Pelodiscus sinensis: one gene and its partner. The protein of the gene in region 2 interacts with the protein of the main gene of each other region in a biochemical or structural test. Links are inferred from orthologs where the notes say so. Each region holds a gene or a part of one and is shown on either strand. Other genes may lie near its edges.

The links. The genes of interacting proteins can lie anywhere in the genome.
Region 1: the proteins of TDRD3 (region 2) and TOP3B form a complex in vitro, tested with the Homo sapiens proteins (2 studies listed by BioGRID and IntAct, with this or other methods). The link is inferred for Pelodiscus sinensis from reciprocal best matches to the Homo sapiens genes TDRD3 and TOP3B.

The regions. Positions count from the first base shown.
Region 1 is NC_134725.1:16,992,892-17,002,646, reverse strand, and holds the start of TOP3B (DNA topoisomerase 3-beta-1), read right to left. Parts: upstream 3,969-9,755; 5' UTR 3,858-3,968; intron 3,826-3,857; exon of another isoform or gene 3,739-3,825; intron 3,194-3,738; 5' UTR 3,100-3,193; coding exon 3,030-3,099; intron 2,179-3,029; exon of another isoform or gene 2,177-2,178; coding exon 2,045-2,176; intron 1,159-2,044; exon of another isoform or gene 972-1,158; intron 660-971; coding exon 553-659; intron 1-552. UniProt on the Homo sapiens protein: Releases the supercoiling and torsional tension of DNA introduced during the DNA replication and transcription by transiently cleaving and rejoining one strand of the DNA duplex.
Region 2 is NC_134711.1:278,660,073-278,669,617, forward strand, and holds the start of TDRD3 (tudor domain-containing protein 3), read right to left. Parts: upstream 4,042-9,545; 5' UTR 3,745-4,041; coding exon 3,683-3,744; intron 2,289-3,682; exon of another isoform or gene 2,098-2,288; intron 1-2,097. UniProt on the Homo sapiens protein: Scaffolding protein that specifically recognizes and binds dimethylarginine-containing proteins. Plays a role in the regulation of translation of target mRNAs by binding Arg/Gly-rich motifs (GAR) in dimethylarginine-containing proteins.

The DNA.
Region 1 (9,755 bases), on a different chromosome or scaffold from region 2:
TTTTCAGTATTTTTAGTTCAACCATCTGGCAACACTAGTGGGAGGAATGGTGGGAAAGTGGTCCAACTGGGCTGGAGACCCCCATCCAAGCTTGTTCCCCTTTAATTGATTAACTGGTTAAACAATATGTTTAACCGGTTACTCAACTAAATGAGATTTTACATCCCTCTTGAACTGTGCACACTGCAACTGGAAACAGTATTCCAGCAGTAATTGCATTAGTGCCAAATAAGGAAGATGATTTTTCTACTCCTGCTTGAGATTCCATTTATTATTCATCCACAGACTGCATTAGCCCTTGTGGCCACAGCACCACATGGGAGCTCATGTGGAGCTGATTATGCACCGTGATCTAGGGATGTTAACGAACGACTAATTTACTAGTCAAGTTGTTGATGGAATTTCCATTGCCTACACGACAGGTCGATAGGCACTTCCGCATACCTCCTTTGAAATGTACAAGAGTCCATTTAGTCAGGCTTGTAGTTAAAGAGAACACTAACCATTTGAAAAAAAATCCCAAAACAGTTTAAAATACATCTCAAAGAATACCTGTAAAAATTTCACCATAGTCAATTTGGGGTTAGCTTCTTTCTTTTCTGTAGGGGCTTTGCTAAAAAGCTCTGCTGGATCCACTTTGTCCCAATTGTTATATTTTCCTGAAATGGGAAACAGTTCTAAATACCTTAAATAAAACATTTATTGTACAAAGACATAGCTTGCAAAGCTAATCATAGTATGCTGACTATAGAAATGGCATTCTTTTAGAAAGTTCAGTGCTTCATTCTTCTCCACCAAGTGCTGCAATGGCCTCTAACTTTGATTTATATTGAGATCAGTCATATTTTAAAGGGATAGCAACAAAAACACATTTCTAAAGGAAATTTGTTTTGTGACAAGTAACTATAACTGAAACATTAGAGGGAGGAGTTAAAAAAAGTTATGTTCTTCTATTTCTGCAACTTACTCACTTTGAGCATTTTTACAGTCCTTTTATAAATAGTCAGTTTCATTGTTTCTCCTATATAATCTGTTGGGCTCCATTATATTGTTTCTTTTGTTTTCCATATCTCAGTCATTCTTGATTGTAACTGTTAGCACTAACATACTGTCGGACATCTTCAAAGCACTGTGCATACTATTTACTCCTCATAACACCTGTGAGGTAGTTAAGTATTATCTTCATTTTACAGATGGAAAAACAGTTGTCAAATGACAATCTCTGTGTCACAGTCAGTGAGAGGCAACATTAAAATCCAAGGAGTTCCTAGTCATGCACTTAAGCCATTACATACCTCTTTGAATATTCCATCACATTTTTACACCAGGCCCTTTTAATAATATTTTGCATCCAAGAATCTTAGTATTTGAAAACATTAGAAAATTTAGACTCATCTCCCCATTTGCAGATAAAATAATGAAAGCACAGAGAAGATAAGTGATTTGCCCTAAAATCTGATGTTCTAAACTTTTTTCTTTCTGATCCCCTTCTCTTCCCCAAACATGCTATAAAAACTCCATAGTCCTCCTGTGCCACAACAACTGGTTTTCTGCATATAAATGCCAAGGCTGGCATTAGGCAAGTAGGGCAATTGCCTGGGGCTCCATGAAGCTAAGTTGCTCAGGCTTTGGCTTCAGCATCGGTGGCAGGGTTCAAGGCCTTGGGCTTCAGCACTATGCAGTAGTAGGGTTTCAGCTTTCTGCCCTGAGCCCCAGAAAGTCTAATGCTGGCCCAGCTTGGATGTCTCTGGAACCTGCTGCGCCCCTGTCCCTCCCTACACCGAGGATCAAGACACCTGGATGAGAACACTGCCCTAGATCACACAGTCTGTTGCAATATCAGGAATGAAACTTAGAGCTTCCAAATCTAGACAATGTCTTAATCTGAAGACTATACTTTGACTTAACTCCTTTCTCTTATCCAATTTACAGTGAAGCAGTGACTCTGATTTTACTAATCACAGTTAATTTTGCATCAGTGCTGTTTTTTTTTTTAAAAAGTTGCAAACTGCTCAAAATCAAACAGACAACAAATAGACAATACCTATGAAATCCAGAGTCATCACATGGCCACACACAGATGTCATCTTGAAGTGGACACTCTGCCCCATAAATGATCCAGTGTACTCATGAACAGAGCATGCCCCATTCAGCCCTTTATGAGAAGACATGTTTCCTGTACAAAAAAATAAAATAAATATGAACAGACATTAAAATACTGAAAGTAATCTTGTTTCTTGCATCATGAAACTCTGTCTTTCCTCTGTATCTCCAGATTTTCCTGAACCCCCTTCTATTCTCTACACAAGTTTCTCTCTTGCGAACTCCCTCATTTGGGCCATTATTAACATCTCACTATATATTTGCAACAACCTTCCATTTAACATGTCCCAAACTTATCCTGTGGATCAACACAAAGTATAATGAACACACTCTGCATTATATATAGAGAGCTGTACTATACCAGCTCATGCCTCTAAGCCAGAAAAACCTCAGAGCAAGGGATCTACTACTTACTTAGAATCTCTGAACAGTACAATAGAACAGTAAAAACATTATATTAAGTAACAAAATCAGTCTCCTGGCACACAGGTTTATACTTTGTTTCAAATTGTTGAAAAATTTCCCACCAATAAATGCAACTTTACAGGTTGGATGACTCAGAAAGGAAAGTAGCATTCTTGTTGGTTTTCCAAGCAAGAAAAACCCAGTCAACTAAGCAGCAGCAAATGGAAAGATGGAGGAGAGTTCTATTGACAACCTTTTAAATGCTGAATGTCATCCAGTTTCATCTGCAGCTGGCAGCTCAGATTAACATCTGCATCCAAATAGTAGGGTTTTTTTTTTTTAGCTTCCACCTTCCTTGAAATCTAGTAGTCTTTGTAATATGCAGCAATTAGTAAATTGCTTTACTTCCAAACAAAGAGATACACATATGTGTTTTAATAAATTTATTTCTTACAGTACAAACATACCCTTTCTAAGAGAAACAAAAAAGACTGAAGAGATTAGCAAGCTTTCTGTCTTACCTCTTGAGAGGATCTTGGCAATAGACTGAGCCAGAGAAGGCTTCTCTGCAACCATAAACACCGTCTTCATTTTTAGTTATGGAGTTCAAAGGGCTGGAAGACTTAATCAAGGGATTTTAGCCTAGCATAAACTTCACTTTGTTCTCACTGTATTATCTTTCTGCCTAAAAAGAGGGGGAAAAACAGCTTGAGTTTAAATGAAATCATGTGTAGAAAAAAATGGGATACAAAATGTTATATGTGTATGCCAACAATACACATTTTCCTGTCACTTAATCATTTTCAAACAACTATTCCGTTCTGCTGTCATCGTGTTTAGGTGGTCCTATGGATACAAGCTGTATCAGCATTTCCATTACACACAGTGGTTTATAGCTTGGCTATAACAATTCACTCCAGGATGAAAGCTACTATAATTTACCAGCCAGTGACTCCTTTGAAGAATTCTTTTCAGTGACTGGGAAAAAATGGTTTATTTTACCCGCCCATCAAATGCAGCTTTCCAGGATGGCTGATCCAGAATGGGAACTAGCGTTCTTGCTGTTTTTCCAAGTCCAAAGCCAACTAAGCGGCTCTCCCATCCCCAGCCCCCTCTTCCCCGTTATCTAAACCCCAGAACGATTCCCGCCGTCCTGCGCCGATTCAGCCTGAAACCCCGGAGCGATTCCGGATTTCCCCACCCCGCTAAGTCCACAGGAAGCCGGTTCACTTCATGGCAAAGCGACTGCAGCCCTCGCGCGCCCCGCAGGCGGCTTCCGGTCTGCCCGCTGCCAGGCCCCGATCCCGCAGACCCGGCCCAGAAAGCGCCCCCCGCAGCGGCCCGCTCACCAGCCCCCGCGCGCCGCCATTGATTCCCCGCTTCCACTTCCGGGTCACCGCGCCGGAAGCCCGTCCGGGAGATGGGCAAAGGCGCTCGGAGGAGAGAGCTGCCCATTGGCCCCGCCCCTGCCAGTGGGAGGAGCTGTGCGTGCAGCGTCTCTCCCCATTTCTCTGGGCGTGCAGGGCTCAGAGCTGCGCTGAGCAGTGCGCAGGAGCAGGCTGGCAGGCAGGGTGCCCGGGAAAGACTCCCTTGGGCTGGATGCAGAGGTTTAGTAGGTCTGATCTGGCCTGTGGGCTTTATTTTGTCTGCCCCTGCCCTGAGACATGCTGTCTGCCCACTGGTCCTATGCCCATAGGGAGATGCTGTTCACTCACTGGTCTGCTGCCTTCCTCTGAGAGATGCTGTCCTCCTGTTGCTCTTGGCTCTTGCCCTAAGGGAGATGCCCACTGGCTTTCCCTCTGCCTTTAGAGAGCCGTTTCTTCTCCAGTTGGCGCCCACCCTTTGTCCTCAGGGTGATGCTTCCACTCATTGGCTCTGTGCTCAGTCAGAGGCTATCCTACATTTGTCCTGATCTTTGCCCCCCAGAGAAATGCTTTTCTTCACTGGCTCAGGTCCTGCCCCTCCCAGTGGCGAGACGGTTAGTACCCTTTATGTCAGCAGATATCTGCTTTATATCTACAGGTTTCTACATCTGTAAATGTGAATGTGGATATCTGCAGCTCATTTTTGTGGATACAGATACAAAAGTTGTATCTAGAAATCCTGCAGATTTGCAATTATCTATTTAATATACTCAGGTATCTGCAGCTGCGGATGTAGAGATAAATATTTTCAGACAGAGCTGTCCTGTCCAGGGTGGCCTCGGGGATTACCTGTGGAGGGAGGACCTAGTGCAGGGTGACAGTCAAGGTGCCCTCTCATTCACTATGGTGGAAGGAGCTGGAGCAACCTGGCAACCTACTCTGCTCCACCCCACCCTGCCCTCACACTCTTGCCCAACCTGCTGTGATCCACTTCACTGTGGCAGCAGGAAGCAGAGCACCTTGGCCTCAGGGTGCAACACTTCTCACCCCCGAAGTGAAGCAGAGCACAGTGGACTGGGAAAGGGTGGTAGAATGGAGCAGAACAGGCTGCTGGGAGACAGAGAGGAGACCAACCCTGTGCTGCTGCCCTGAGCCAGGCTCCCTACTAATCACCCAGTTGGCCTTGTTGGGGGAGTAGTCTATGGGCAAGGGGGTGGGGAAAGGGTGGGGTGCAGGCGTAGGGTAGGGGGAAGCAGAGTGAGGCTTGCTCCAGGGGGATCGCCCAGATCATCTAACATGCATCTGAGTAGGTCTTATGGACACAGTGCTTATGACACGGGCAGCCACAGAAGCCCTCTCTACAAGATGGATTGTATTTTTCATTGCCCTGAACCTTGAACAGTTTTCACCAGCACAAAGACCAAAGGAGGTTTATGTTGCACTCACAGGGTGCATCTACACAGCAGCGTTATTTCAGAATAAATGACGTTATTCGGAAATAACACAGAGCACATCTACTCTACAAGCCTATATTTCTAAATAATAATGCTGAAGGATTTCTTACCCTGACTCTGTAACCCTCATTTCATGAGGGGTAAGGAAAGTTGGAGTAAGAGTGTTCTTCCTTCGACTTCTTTCTGTGTAGACTGTGCCTAAATCTGAGTTGAGCTGTTCAGAATTAAAATACACAATTGACGTAGATGAAGTAGTGTAGCTTAATTCAACTTTAGCCTGTACCCACAATGACTACACGCAGGACATCAGAAGATCAGGCACTATGACTCCCAAATGTTGCTGACACAAATGGAGCTTTTTGAACATTACCCCTGGTCTGACTCCAGGTTGAGCTTAAGTGGAGAAAAATGTTAAAATGGGATGGACAATAGCTGCTCTTTGGTGAGAGAGAATTTCATTCTTAATCCCCTCTGCTGCTAATTTTCTCCATACTAACTAAAGCAATAAAAGCTGCCCTGTTAAGTTGTTTTCTGTAGCAGTTCCTGTTGCCACCTGTCTCCTATGTGGAATGAATAATGCAAAACTAAAGTTATTGTTTCTCCTCAAAACATTAGTTTCTGCCACACTAAAATAAATGAAAAGACCATGGTTTCAGTAGGGTCCACCTTACATTAGATTTTATGCAGCTGAACAGTTATGTTTAAATCCAATAGAGAGTGTGGCAGACATGTACAAGCCAATTCACAATTTGAACTCATGTAAACTAAGTTCCACCAGCACAATGAACTATATACAGGTTGGGTGCGTCTAGACTGGCAAGATTTTGCGTAAAAGTGGCTGCTTTTGCACAAAAACTTGCCAGCTGTCTACACTGGCTGCTTGAATTTGCGCAAGAGCACTGATATTCTAATGTAAGAATTCAGTGCTTTTTGAGCAAATACTTTGATGCTCCCGCTCAGGGATAAACACTCTTGTGCAAGAATACTTGTGCGAGAGGGCCAGTGTAGACAGGCACCTTAATTTTTTGTGCAAGAAAGCCCGATGGCTAAAATGGCCATCGGAACTTTCTTGCGCAAAAGCGCGTCTATATTGGGCACGGATGCTTTTGCGCAAAAGCATTTTTGTGCAAAAGCATCCGTGCCAATCTAGACGCTCCTTTGCAGAAATACTTTTAACGGAAAAACTTTTCTGTTAAAACCGTGGTCCCCAACACGGTGCCCGCGGGGGCATTTGCATGCGCCCGCCAGGTGCTCGGGGCTGACCTGGCCCCGGGCACATGGCGCACGGTGAGCGCCAGCCCCGGGCGCGTGGCGCTTGCGGGGGGGGGGGGAGCGCCGGCCCTGGGTGCGCGGCGCTTGCGGGGGGGGAGCGCCGGCCCCGGGCGTGCGGCCCTTGGAGGGGGCCCCGGCCCCGGGTGCGTGGCTATGGGGGGGCCCCGGCCCCGGGCGCATGGCTATGGGGGGTGGCCCCGGCCCTGGGCATGCGGCTATGGGGGGGGGCCGCCCCCGGGCGCGCAAGTGTCCCCGCCCCCGGCACCCGGCGGGCGAACGGCCACGCCCCTTGGCGCCTGACAACCTCAAAAGGTTGGGGACCACTGCGTTAAAAGTATTTCTGCAAAATCATGCCAGTCTAGATGCAGCCGTTGAATCTCTCTAGTCCAGCACTCTCTGGGCCAGAAACATCTGTGGTCCAGAATGATTTCAGTTATCTGGATGTCCGCTTATCAGGGGTGTGTCAACCTTCCCACAGTCCAATAAAGTTTGTTTACAGCCATCAGTCCTGGCTCTCAATGTCCTGTGCTATTATTTAGCTCTAATTTACTCCAACCGTCTTTTAAGAGCCCAATAAGCAGTGAAAGTGTCGGCATGCTGATAGACAATATTGATCTCCCATGATTCAGCAAATTCTCTGATCTAGATTCAGTCAGGTCCTGAGGGGGCCAGACTGCAGAGTTTCAACCTGTTTAGTGTTTCTGAATAGAATGGTGATTTTTCCTATCCTACAATGATTTAATTTTGTAAGTACTATTTTCTAATACACCATAGTAATGTAAGTTGAAAATAATATCAATTCTAAAAGTCTCAGACTCTCATATAATATTTCCTTAATTCAAGGATTCTTAATAAAATAGAAACATGCAAAAACGATATTGAAGTAACCTTAAATATCTTGGTAGTTCTTACAAGAACAGGGAAATTCACAGTTAAGATTTTCCCTTAAGCTAGTCTGCAAAGTTGTTACCAATATAACAACAGTGTTATTTTATACCAACTTATTTAAGCCAGTGCAATTGTATACAGACTTCTATCACTTTAAATCTTATTTATATAAAATGTGCAAGCAAAACTTATAGAATCCATTTTAAATCAATATAAAACAGTCCACACATAAAAGTTGCACTGGGTTAATTCAACTGATTTAAACTAAAACAGCACAACTTCAGTTTTTAGACAAGCTTTTCATCCTTCATTCACTGGTTTCTTGCCATAGATGTGTAACCTCCATCAGGCAGATATGAACCTGGCACCTTAATGTAGGATCCTCTACAGCTTGAGTTGTAAAGTCAGCTGGCACACTCCCTTCTCTAAGTGGGCTAAGAGCTGCTACATGAGACAATGAACCACACCCACTAGGTCTGTGGATTACATACTTCCCATAGCTAAAGAAGCACATCTTAAGCTCCAGAGACTCAGGTGCAATCTTGGATGAACCCCCCGCCTGCCTGCCCACCCGCTCTAGTTTTAATCACCGACAAGCAGGTTTGAACCAGGGACCTCTGGAGCTTACTGTAGGTACTTCTACAGCTTGAACTGTAAAGCCAGCTTGAGCTATAAATAACTCCTGTTATTTTGAAATAACAAGGTGAGCATCCACACAGCAAGCCTGTTATTTTGAAATTATTTCAAAATAATGCGCTTGTTATTTCAGAATAATATCCCCTCATTCTACGAAATGTAATGCCTATTTCAAAATTGCTATTTCGAAATAGGGTGACTGTGGACGGGTCAGCTGTGCTTATTTTGAAATAATTGGCCTCAAGGGCATCTCACAGCTGTTCTAGTGGCCACTCTGTTCACACCCCTCAAAACTCTATAGTTTCCCTTCTTCTGCAGGGTTTAAAGTTGCAGGAAGAAGGGAAAGGGCTTGTGGCACCATATCATTCCTGCTAGCCCCATGCCACACTGCAGCACCTTGCACAGCTTACGCTGCTGTCATGACAGACCCCAGTGCTCCCTCCAAGCCTCCTATGGCTGCACGCATGCCAGCAGCCACCCCGGAAGCTCCAGGGGTGAAAAAGTGCCCTATTCTGGACCGGTGCAGAGATACTGGATTTCATTGAGGTGTTGGGTGAGCAGTCCAACTTCCAGGATCTCCACATCAGACTCAGGACTGCGGATGTTTATGGTCAGATGGCCGCCAGCCTGGCCCAGAATGGCCACACATACACACTGGACCAGGTGCAAATGAAAATTAAAGAACTGCATCAGGCCTACACCAAGGATAGGGAATGGAGTTATTGGCAGATTGGGCAACAGCAGGAAAGGCATTGGATGGGGAGACTGACTGGCAATTGAAGGGCATGAGTAGGTGGGATGGGCTAAAAGTGTTCAGATATAGACAGTCCAGGGGTGGGGTGGGCAGGAGTGGAGAAGGTTGTGAGTGACTTGGGGCTATGGAAAGCACAGCTGGACTCTGCAAGATTAACAAACTCTCTGGCCATGAAAGCAGAGAGCAAGAGGGGGGCTGGCAAGCATAGCGAGCAGGGGGCACAGCCTCCTAGTATCTATAGCTGAGATTATATTTTCCATGTGTATTACTTTGCACTTATCAACACTGAATTCCATCTGCTCTTGTGTTGCCCAGTCACCCAGTTTTGTGAGATCCCTGTGTAACTCTGCAGTCACCTTTGAATTAGTCATTGTTTACCCATTTTTCAAGAACATGAGATGTTTAAGAGCAGTGATATAAATGCAGATCCCTGCAGCACAACACTCATTCCTACTCTTTTCTCCTATCTTTAAGTGGAGTACTCAGCAATATTTTCGTGATGATCTAATGCACTTTCAGTTACTGGAATACCCAGCCTTTTGTTATTCTTTATCACCCTGCCTCCCTCTCTTTATAACAAGCTCCCTGCCCCAAAGGCAAAGCAGCAAGCAGCTCAAATTCTGTTGCAATTAAGAGCTGCTTCTGGAGTCAGAACATGCACTTTAAGAAAACTTCAATTCTGAAATCCAGGGGTTCAAACATGGGAGGGGGCTACTGCTGCCCCCCAACTCCCATAAATGGTGCCCTTGTTTCCATCTGCACTCTTCTCTGCAGAGAGGAGACAGCAAATTCTGGGCCAGACCCCTGGACAGGTTAGGTTAGATTTCTTCTGTATTGGAGGTAGGAATGGAATATTCTTCCCACACCAGAGAAGGGCAG
Region 2 (9,545 bases):
CCTGGCTGGCAGGACCGCATGTTGCACAGCTGCAGTGCTTGGCCACAACTGGGTGCCATGGCAGCCCGGCCCCTGTTGAGCATCGCAGTAGCCAAGCTCCACGCGTTGCTTGATCCAAGCTGAGTGCCACAGCACCTGGGTTCCACGTGGCGCTTTGCCCTCGCCAATCACTACAGCTGTGCTCAGCAGGGGCCCTGTTGCAACAGTGGTCAGCTGAAGCATGGCAAGCTGCAGGCTCCGCACAGCTTTCCCGCCATGCAGGGAAGCACTCCGCACTCAGCTGGTGGCTGGAAGGCAGTAGCAGGGCTTGGTGAGGGAGGTAGGATAGGCATGGGGCTCTGGGGGCAAGGCTAGTACTGAGAGTCTCTAGGGCTGGGGGGGTGGCTGACACCGAGGGGCACTATGACATCCAGAATGGGGAGTGAGTTCTGGGGGGCTCAGGGGTCAGGGACAGTGAAGGGACTAGAGGGGCAGGGCTGGCACAGAAGAAAGGGCTAGTATTGGGGACTGGGGGCTGACACGGGGCTAACCTGGAGGGATTAGGTTTAGTGGGGCTCTGGAAACAGGAGGCTGGCACTGAGACGTTTGGGGCAAGGGGGCTGGCACTAGGGGACTCTGAGGGCGAGATGTTGGCTCTAGGGGGGTTGGGTGCAGGGGTCTCTGGGGTCAGCGGCTGGCACTGGGGGGTAGTGGAAGGGTGAGGGGCTCTAGGAGTTAAGGCTGGTTCTGGGGCTTTTTATACCACGGATCGGAACCCATTCACAATCTTTTGGCAGGCGGGTAACATTTTATTTGTATATCTGAATATTTATTACTTGCATGTGAATATGCAAATATATAAATAAAATGTTACAGGTCCGCCAAAAGTTTATGAATTGGTTTGCCAGTCCTCAATATAAAAAAGGTTGGGAACCATTGTCCTAAAGGGATTGTCTTGGTCTGGCCTAGGAGGCAATAGAGAGTCCCACCGCTTACTGAGCTGGTCCACTGCAAACACACACAGGTTAGCATAGACGTAGACATCTGATCCAGGGAGCTAGGACCATGCTTCATCAACAACAAATCTGGCCCTGATAGCTTTGTCCCTTATTGGATACTGTGGTATTTGGGGGTTCTCTCAGAGTCTGCTGTGCTGGCTACGAGCACAAAGCCAGTGCAACACAGAGGGGGAGGTCACACCACTGCAGCTCACCATTTGGGACATTTCAGTTATTAATATAAGCTAGCCACTAAGGTGTTTTGAAAATGCTTATATTTGTGGTGAAAATATCAACAATCATCTATGCTCACTGAACTACCAAACTAGAGAAGTGGCAACAGTCTAAAAATTTCAGTGTGTGTGTTAAGACGAATATTTTAAATTCACAATTCCAAGCCAAGTCGTAACTCTTGTGGTCATCCAATCTGAACTCCTGTACAACTAAGGTCACAAAACCTCGCCCAAAATAATTCCTAGAAAACATCTTTTAGAAAAACACAAACAATTTTGATTTTAAAAATAGCTAGTGATAGAGAATCAACCAAAACTTCTAATCCACATTTCAATTTCCAACCACTGGATCCTTTTATATTTTTCTCTGCCAGATTGAAGAGCCCATTAAATATTTATTCACCATGCAGTTTCTTACAGACTGTAATCAAGTTACCCCTTATCTTCCTCTTTGTTGAATTAAACAAGTGTTGAGTTAAAAAAAATCTGTAACTACAAGGGATGATTTTTAATCCTCTAATTATTCTCATGGCTCTTCTCTGAATCCACTTCAAAACATTTTTCTTGAATCATGGATGCCAGAACTAGATATTCCAATATTCAAGCAGCAGTTGCAGTAGTGCCAAATTCAAAAGGTAAAATAACCTCTCTACTTTCATTTAACGATATCTATATATCTATGCATAATAAGAAACTAAAAATTAAAAAATGAAGATGAAATTATAAACTACTTGCCTGAAAACTTTGCTAATTTCAATTTATAAATTGCTGATCTTCTTGAATACAGTTTCTATTAAAAATTACTTTTAGTACCTAACTTCTGGTGGCCAAAAGTCATGACCCTTTGTCCTAGAATAGTGTTAAAAGATAATTTCTGAAATTAGTACCTTTACTCCTTAGCCAAGCATCTGCAGAGAAGCAGTCCTAGCAAGACACCTCAGCTTCTTAGTTTGATCAATGATTCCATAAAAGAACATCAGGTAATTTCAAAGGCAATCCAAGTTTGTAGGAACAGAAAGTTAACAGATCAGTAGATTTATAGTCTTCCCATAGATTGCTATTTTCTCCAGAAACTGAACTTTGAATGAAAATTTGAAGGGAAAAAAAAAGTATAGGTTTAACAGTATATAAGCTCCAGCAATTAAAATGTGACCTTTGTTGTGATCCTTTTCAAGTGATAGAAATAATTTAGGCACTGTAAAGCCCCAATCCAATAAAATACAGGAAGAAGAGAGGTACACATTCTAGAGTCTAAGCATGTGAAACTTCAAGCAAGTGAAACTTCAAGCAAGTATTTCCACTCAAGTCAATAGGCCTACTCACATACTTGCAATGTAACCATGTATTACAACTATTTTCCAAGTTAGACCTAAATGATTACTTTTTTATAAGTATCATATATTGCAAAGCATGCCCATTTTCACAATTGTGTTGTAAAATAATTAAGGAGAAAAAAGTCTAATCTAGTAAATAAATAACACCAACCCATACCCAGGTGAGTACACGTATGCTTTGTTTTGGAAAAAGTGGTAACTTTGGTTAAGTGTTGCATTTTGACTGAAGTATTATTTCCAACTAATTGAACAAACAGGAGAGACACAAGACTGTCTACACTAGCCCCTTTTAAAAATAATTTTCCATCCATGCAGCACAACCAGCGCTAGTATGAGTGGTCCAGAAAGGCTGTGGGCCTACAATGTTTTCACTACATCTCAGCTAAAACTGTTGCAGCACGTTTAATCAAAATGACAGTAAAAACTATCCTCAGTTCTTCAGAACCTTGTCTAACTCAGCAATCCCACTGTTGTTACCATTAGTGGAGCTGCACTGAAATATCAGCCTTGTTCAGAGAAAGGTTACAGTGACAAGGCCTATGAATTTAGGCAACTTTCTGGTGCATTAAACTTTACCTGCTGATCATTTCTGTAACATTAGTGCAATAATACCAACTCGAGAGATGCTGGGACGTTTATTTCATTAACTGTTCACAAAACACTCCATGATTCTTGCTTTCTGTTTCATTTATGGGAGATGTTAAAGGCAACCCAGGTGCACAGACTAACTACAAAGGCCACAGCATGCTCCTGCTAACAGAGATAACTATGTAAAAAATATAGGAAATATGAAACCCTTCACTGTATAGACAGGGAAAACTGAGAAAGGGAAAAGCAGGTCTGGTCTCTGGATCTTTTGCTGCGGGACTGTGCCTAGCATATCCCCTCTAAGGGCCCCAGAAAGGTCAAACCAAGAGCTGCCATGCCACTGTGAAAGCCACTTACCTTCCCCCCACACTTCCTGCTCCTCTCACAAGGCAGGCGGGAGGGGAGTGTTACAAGTCAGGGTGGAAAGGGACAGGAACCAGAGAGGCCTAGAGCCGCAGCAGCCGCTTCCCGGCCCAGGCCTGACCCTCCAGGCCTGGCCCGAGTCCCACCCCGGGCCCGAGGAGCCGCCCAGCGGGCAGGCCCCACTTACCAGCCTGACTCCGAGAGCGCGGAGCTCGTCCCGCCTGCCATGGTGGCTCCCGCCGCCTCCATAGCCCCCGGCGGCAGCTGCCCACAAACTTGCTGCGGCGCTGGGCGGCCGGCTGGGCCCGTACCCGGGGCGGCTGCGGGGGAGGAGCCGCGTGGCCTGGCCCGCCCCGCCCGGCTCTGGCCGCGCCCCCGCCCCTGGGCGCCGCTCGCCCGGCTGAGGCGACGGTGGCCCCGGCGCGGAGCCCGCCGCTCGCAGGCGAACAAAGGCGCCGAGCCGGGGGCGGCTCCAGCCCCGCCGCTACTGTGGAGGCGCGAGCCCGGCGCCCCCGGGTACCAGCAGCGAGGCGGGCGCCGCCATCACGGGGGCGGGCGGAGAAGGCGGCGCCAGCTGCAGGGAGCGGGAACGGAGCGAGTGGCCTGAGCTGCGGCGCTGCCCGCGAGGTCGGGGAGGGGGCCGCGGCCAGAGCCCCGGCTGCTGCCCAGAGCCCCGTGTCAGTAACGCACAAGGGCTCCAAGGGCCTCAGCGCGGGCTGCCCGGGGCTGGAGCGCCAGGCCCAGCGGGGGCTGCCGCAGAACGTGGATCATGTGCCCAGGCGTGCCTGTGGGGCTAGGCGCAGGGCAGACCTCGCAGCGTGTAGGGCGGGAGAGACCATCGCTCCCACAGGGCGAAAGGGACCCCGCGTGAGGCTAGGCCGAGGCTCAGCCATGTGGGGCTGGCCCGAGCTTTCCCTCCCCCTGGTGCTCCCTTCCCGGTGCGAGGCTGGGGCTAGAATTGCAGCTGGCTCACGTTGAGCCTGCCATCCCTCCCCAAGCACGTTCCTACGCACCCCACTTTTTTTACCAATTTGATTCAGTTTGGGAGAGCAAAGGGGACAAAGGAAAACTTTTCCCAAACAACTAGGACAGCTGGAATAAATAGGACTGTTCTGGAAGAGAACACGTGCTCACCTTATGCATGGCTCTAGCTGCGTGGTCACCAACCAGTAGATCGTGATCTACTGGTAGATCTCAGGGGCTCTAAGGGTACGTCTAGACTACATGCCTCTGTCGCCAGAAGCATGTAGATTAGGCTACCCGACACAGTAAAATGAAGCGGCGATTTAAATAATCGCCACTTCATTTAAATTTACATGGCTGATCAGCTGTTTGTCGGCTCAGCGCGATAGTCTGGACGCTCCCCTGCCGACATCAAAGGTATTTGTCGACCACCCAGGTAAACCTCATCCCAGGAGGTTTACCTGGGTGGTCGACAAATACCTTTGATGTTGACACCCGCGCGTCCAGACTATCACGCTGAGCTGACAAACAGCTGATACGCTGTTTGTCGGCTCAGCGCGGCAGCCATGTAAATTTAAATGAAGCGGCGATTATTTAAATCGCCGCTTCATTTTACTGTGTTGGGTAGCCTAATCTACATGCCTCTGTCGCCAGAGGCATGTAGTCTAGACGTACCCTTAGCTCTTGAGCCCTCTGAACTGCGCGCCTGCGCAGTACATTTACATTAGATTTCCTCATTTGAGGAGCAGCTACTCACCAAGCAACAACACAGGTGAGTAGCTGCGAGGAATTGTGGGAGCTGGGAGGCCAGGAGGGCTGAAACACCCCAGCCAGCTGACTGTGGCTTTCAGCTGAAAGAGGCTGCCCTGCGCTCCAGCTGATGGGCGGCTTCTCCTCTGCGCCTGCCCACGTGGAGCTTGGTGCACCCTGGCTGAGCACCATGGCCAGCTGGCCGGGAAGCCGCTTCTCTTCCCTCCAGCCTGGCTGCCCTGCGCTTAGCCCAGGGAGGCTGCGTCTAGCTGCAGCTGTGCTGGAGCAAGCTTCCCGGGCTGAGCACAGGGCAGCATGGCGGGAGCGAAGAGAAGCTGCTTCCCAGCCAGCTGGCCATGGCGCTCAGCCAGGGTGCACCAAGCTCCACGTGGCCAGGCACAGAGGGGAAGCCACCCGATCAGCTGGAGCACAGTTCATCCTTCTCCGGGCTGAAGGCCACAGCCAGCTGGCCAGGCAGCTTCTTCTCTGCACCAGCCCACGTGGAGCGTGGTGCATCCTGGCTGAGCACCACTTCCAAATGTTGAAAAACCTCTTCCAAATGTTGGAAAAACCTTTTAAAAAAAACAGCAGTATAAGGATTGGGAATAGCAAGTGATGGAGAGGAGGAGAATAGAGAGAGCGGGGCTTCAAGGAAGGGGCGGGGTGGTAGATCTTGGCTTGGTCTGTCATTTAAAAAGTGATCTTGAGTATAAAAAGATTGGAGACCACTGCTCTAGCTGAACCTTCAACCCTCACTGGGAACAATTTACCTGCATAGGTCTCTGCAGTGGTACTCTAACAAGCAGTGGGAGGTCTAAATTCATTACCCCTCACTAGTGTTCCCTGTAATTTTTTATGTCCATGTGCAGATTAACTTTCATTATGTGCACCAGTAGGGCGGTGATATATCACATAACAAAAGGCATTACACACATGGACAGTGCGTGACAGGTGGAGCTAACGGATTGGGTTGAGGGCTCTAAATGGAAGTGCTGAGTGTGAAGGGGCTCAGGGCTGCAGCAAGTAGTTGGGCTACAGGAGGGGCTAAGGTGTATAAAGTCTAAAATGGGGATGAGATTGGGGTGCAGGAGAGCACTCCAGCCTGGAGTAGGGCAAAAGGATTCAGAATACCGAAGGGGGATGCAGGTTGAGGAAGGGGATTTGGATGCAGTAGGAAGTGAGTGTTCTGGAGCAGAGGTTGGCGTGCCGAAGGGAATACAGGCTGTGGGCTCAGGTGTGCACTTTGGGCACCAGGTTTATGGGGGGCTCAGGGCTCGAGCTTATCTGGATGGCTCGTGGTGTCTGCCTGGTATCTGCCTGTCTGGGGCATCACCCCATGCCCCAGAAACAGCCAGCAGGTTTGGCTCCAGGGGTTGGAGGATAAGGTGTAAAATCCCATTTATTTCATTAGCTGGTTAAATGTCAAGTTTAACCAGTTAAATGGAGGGGATCAGTGGGGGGACACCACAGATGGGAGCTACTCTGGCCAGGCAGGAGTGCACTGGGCCCTTGGCAGACGGGGGGCTGCTCCAGCCCATATCCATTACCTGTACCCGGTAAGCCACCCATTAAGGACACCGCCCACCCCACTCAGTCAGGCTGCGGACAATGCACAGAGCCCTGTGCCTTCCTCCCCCTGCTTAAGTGCTGGATCTGCTGGCTGCTTCCCCACCAGTTCCTGCAGAGCTACACTGGCTGCACTCAGTGCTGGAGCTAGCAGGAAGGAGGCCCCTTCCCCCCACCACAGCAAGTCTGTGTTGGGGCTGGTGGGGATGGGCCCCTTCCCCTCCCACCTGTGGTTGCTCCATGTGGGGGCTTGGGAAAGGGTTCCTCTCCTTTGGCCACTGCAGCCCTGAGCCTCTTTGCAGTGGTCCAATGTAGCACACTGAGCTCCTCTGAAACATATCATATACAGTACAGTTAAATAAATACAAGCTATCAAATCTGCACTCATCTGAATTTGAGGAGGGGGGAACTTCCATACTCTTAATCATTTTTGTTACCCATCCTAGTACCAGTTCCAATTCTAATGTATCTTTTTTATGAGGGGGTGACGGGACTTGCATGCAATATTTAAGTTGTGAGTGTATCATGGACTTATGTAGTATAAAAGCTTCAGGGGGTAGCTGAGTTACTCTGTAACAGGAAGAACTTAAACAACAAATATTCTAATAGCACTTTATAGACTAACAAAACATGTAGATGGTATCATGAGCTTTCATGGGCACAAACCACTTCTTCAGATGACCGGAGTGTTGGAAGTCCAGATCCAAGAATAAATAAAGGAAGGAGAGAGGGGAGAGCTTCTGAAGCTTATCTATTTACTATCTTTTTTTCTTCCTCGCCTTCAATTTTTTTCTCCCTCCCCTCCCCCCATGTTTTGTTAGTCTTTAAAGTGCTACTAGACAATTTTTTTATATATAGTATAAGCATTCTGAAAATGAAGCCTCTATTCTAGGTGTCCAAGCCTGGCCCTCCCTGAGGCCCGCACACACACCTGTGCCTTGCAGCACTGTCCATGGGTGCGGGTGCTGCCTCACACAGGCATGCCCATGTGCTGTGTGCAGCACACCTCAGTCTGTCTGGGGTTGGCCTTGTGCCCTTGCGCCCAGCCTGCTTCCAACTGTGGCAGGTGGTGGGTAGACTTGTGTGCCCTCTCCCAGGGGTCAGACGTGTGTGGCCTCCCTGAGCATGAGAGGAGGATCCCGAGGGTGCTCAGGGGCTGCGTCTGAGGCCTCATGGCACACACTGGCACTGCACATAGTTCAAACTGCAGCATGAAGTCCAGGGCGAGCAGGCTGAGCGATGTTCACACCCCATCCTCTCTGCACCCGCCTCAAGTGTGTGGAAAACTGAGAGCACTCACCTAATGATCTCTCCCCACCATTAGAAGATGCCTGCGACACATCCTGGCTCAGGGGTACCAGCTCCAGGCTCAATGTCACAGTGCTGGTCGTGTCCTCTTCCTCCTCCTGCCCCTGCTGTCCCTTTTCCTCCTACTTCTCCATGACCTCTGGGAGGGCGACGACAGGCATCGACCACCATGGGTGGGGAAATGGCTTCCCCAACCCCCAGGATTTGGTGAACCTTCTGGTAATAGGGGCAGGAGTGGGTCCAGCCCCAGAATGTAAGCTGCAATCCCTGGCCCTGGCGGCACTCCTTGACTTTACTCTAGACCTGTTCGAAGGTCCAGAGGGGGTGTCCCCGCTCTGCCAGGGCTGCAGCCATGCGGCCATGGATTTTGGTGTTTTGGTGTCGGGAGCAGAGATCCTATAGGGTCTCCTCCTCCCCGCACAGCTCGAGGAGAGACAGGTTCTCCATTCCGGACCAGGAGGGTGCATGCTGCTTGCTGCCCCTGGCTGGGTCCTGGAAGCCCTGGTGCTGCTCCCTGCGAAGGCTAGCAGGGTCTCATGGGGCTTGTGGCTGGGCCACGGCTGGCAATGCCTGTGGCAGAGAGAGCCACACAGTCAGGTGCTGCTCCAGGGCCAGCTTCCTGCCACAAGGATTTTCCAAAGTGCCTGCAGCTTTAAGAGGTATCAGGAGATAGGAACTATAGAGTTCTGATTACTTTCGATGGGAGTGGCCACGAGGGCATCTGTGTTATTTCCTGGAGGCCTCTTCCAAAAAAAAAACCCTTTTCCCTGTCCACATACGCCTTTTTCCGAAAGAGCTCTTTCGAAAAAAGGCTTTTTCCTCATAGAAAGAGGCTTATTGCTGTCGGAAAAAAACCCTCAGTTCTTTCAACTTTCTATCAAAAGAACTCAATAGCAACATGGACATAAGTGTAGTTTTTTTTGGAAAATGGCCATTTTTCCTAAAAAAATTTGCAATGTAGACATACCCTCCATGTGATAAGCCCTGGCTTCTTTTTTTCTGACCACTGCCATTCCATTTCGTGCCTCGTCTTATTTGTCTGTTTTGTCCTCCTGTTGCATCTTGTTATCAAGTACATTGTGAGCTTTCTAAAATAAGGACTGTCTTTATCACCTTTCTCTACAGTGCCTAGCAAAATAAGGATCTTTGATTGAATTTCCTAGGCACTAGTGCTATATAAGCAATTACATAACAAGTAATATGTAAAAACTGAACAACAATAATTGACAAAGAACAAGGAAACAATGGCAGTACTGCTCGGCTAGGCTCCTCATATTACTCATACTTTCTCAAACTAGCTTCAGAAGAAACACTGAAGAAAGTGTACCCTGGCCATGGAACAGGGAGAAAGACAAAGGGCAGATATTTAGTGAATTGGACAGGTACTGAAACCATTCTCTTGTTGCAAATACATGAAAATAATAATAGTCATCAGTCCCACCTAGAGAGAACTACAGGTTGTA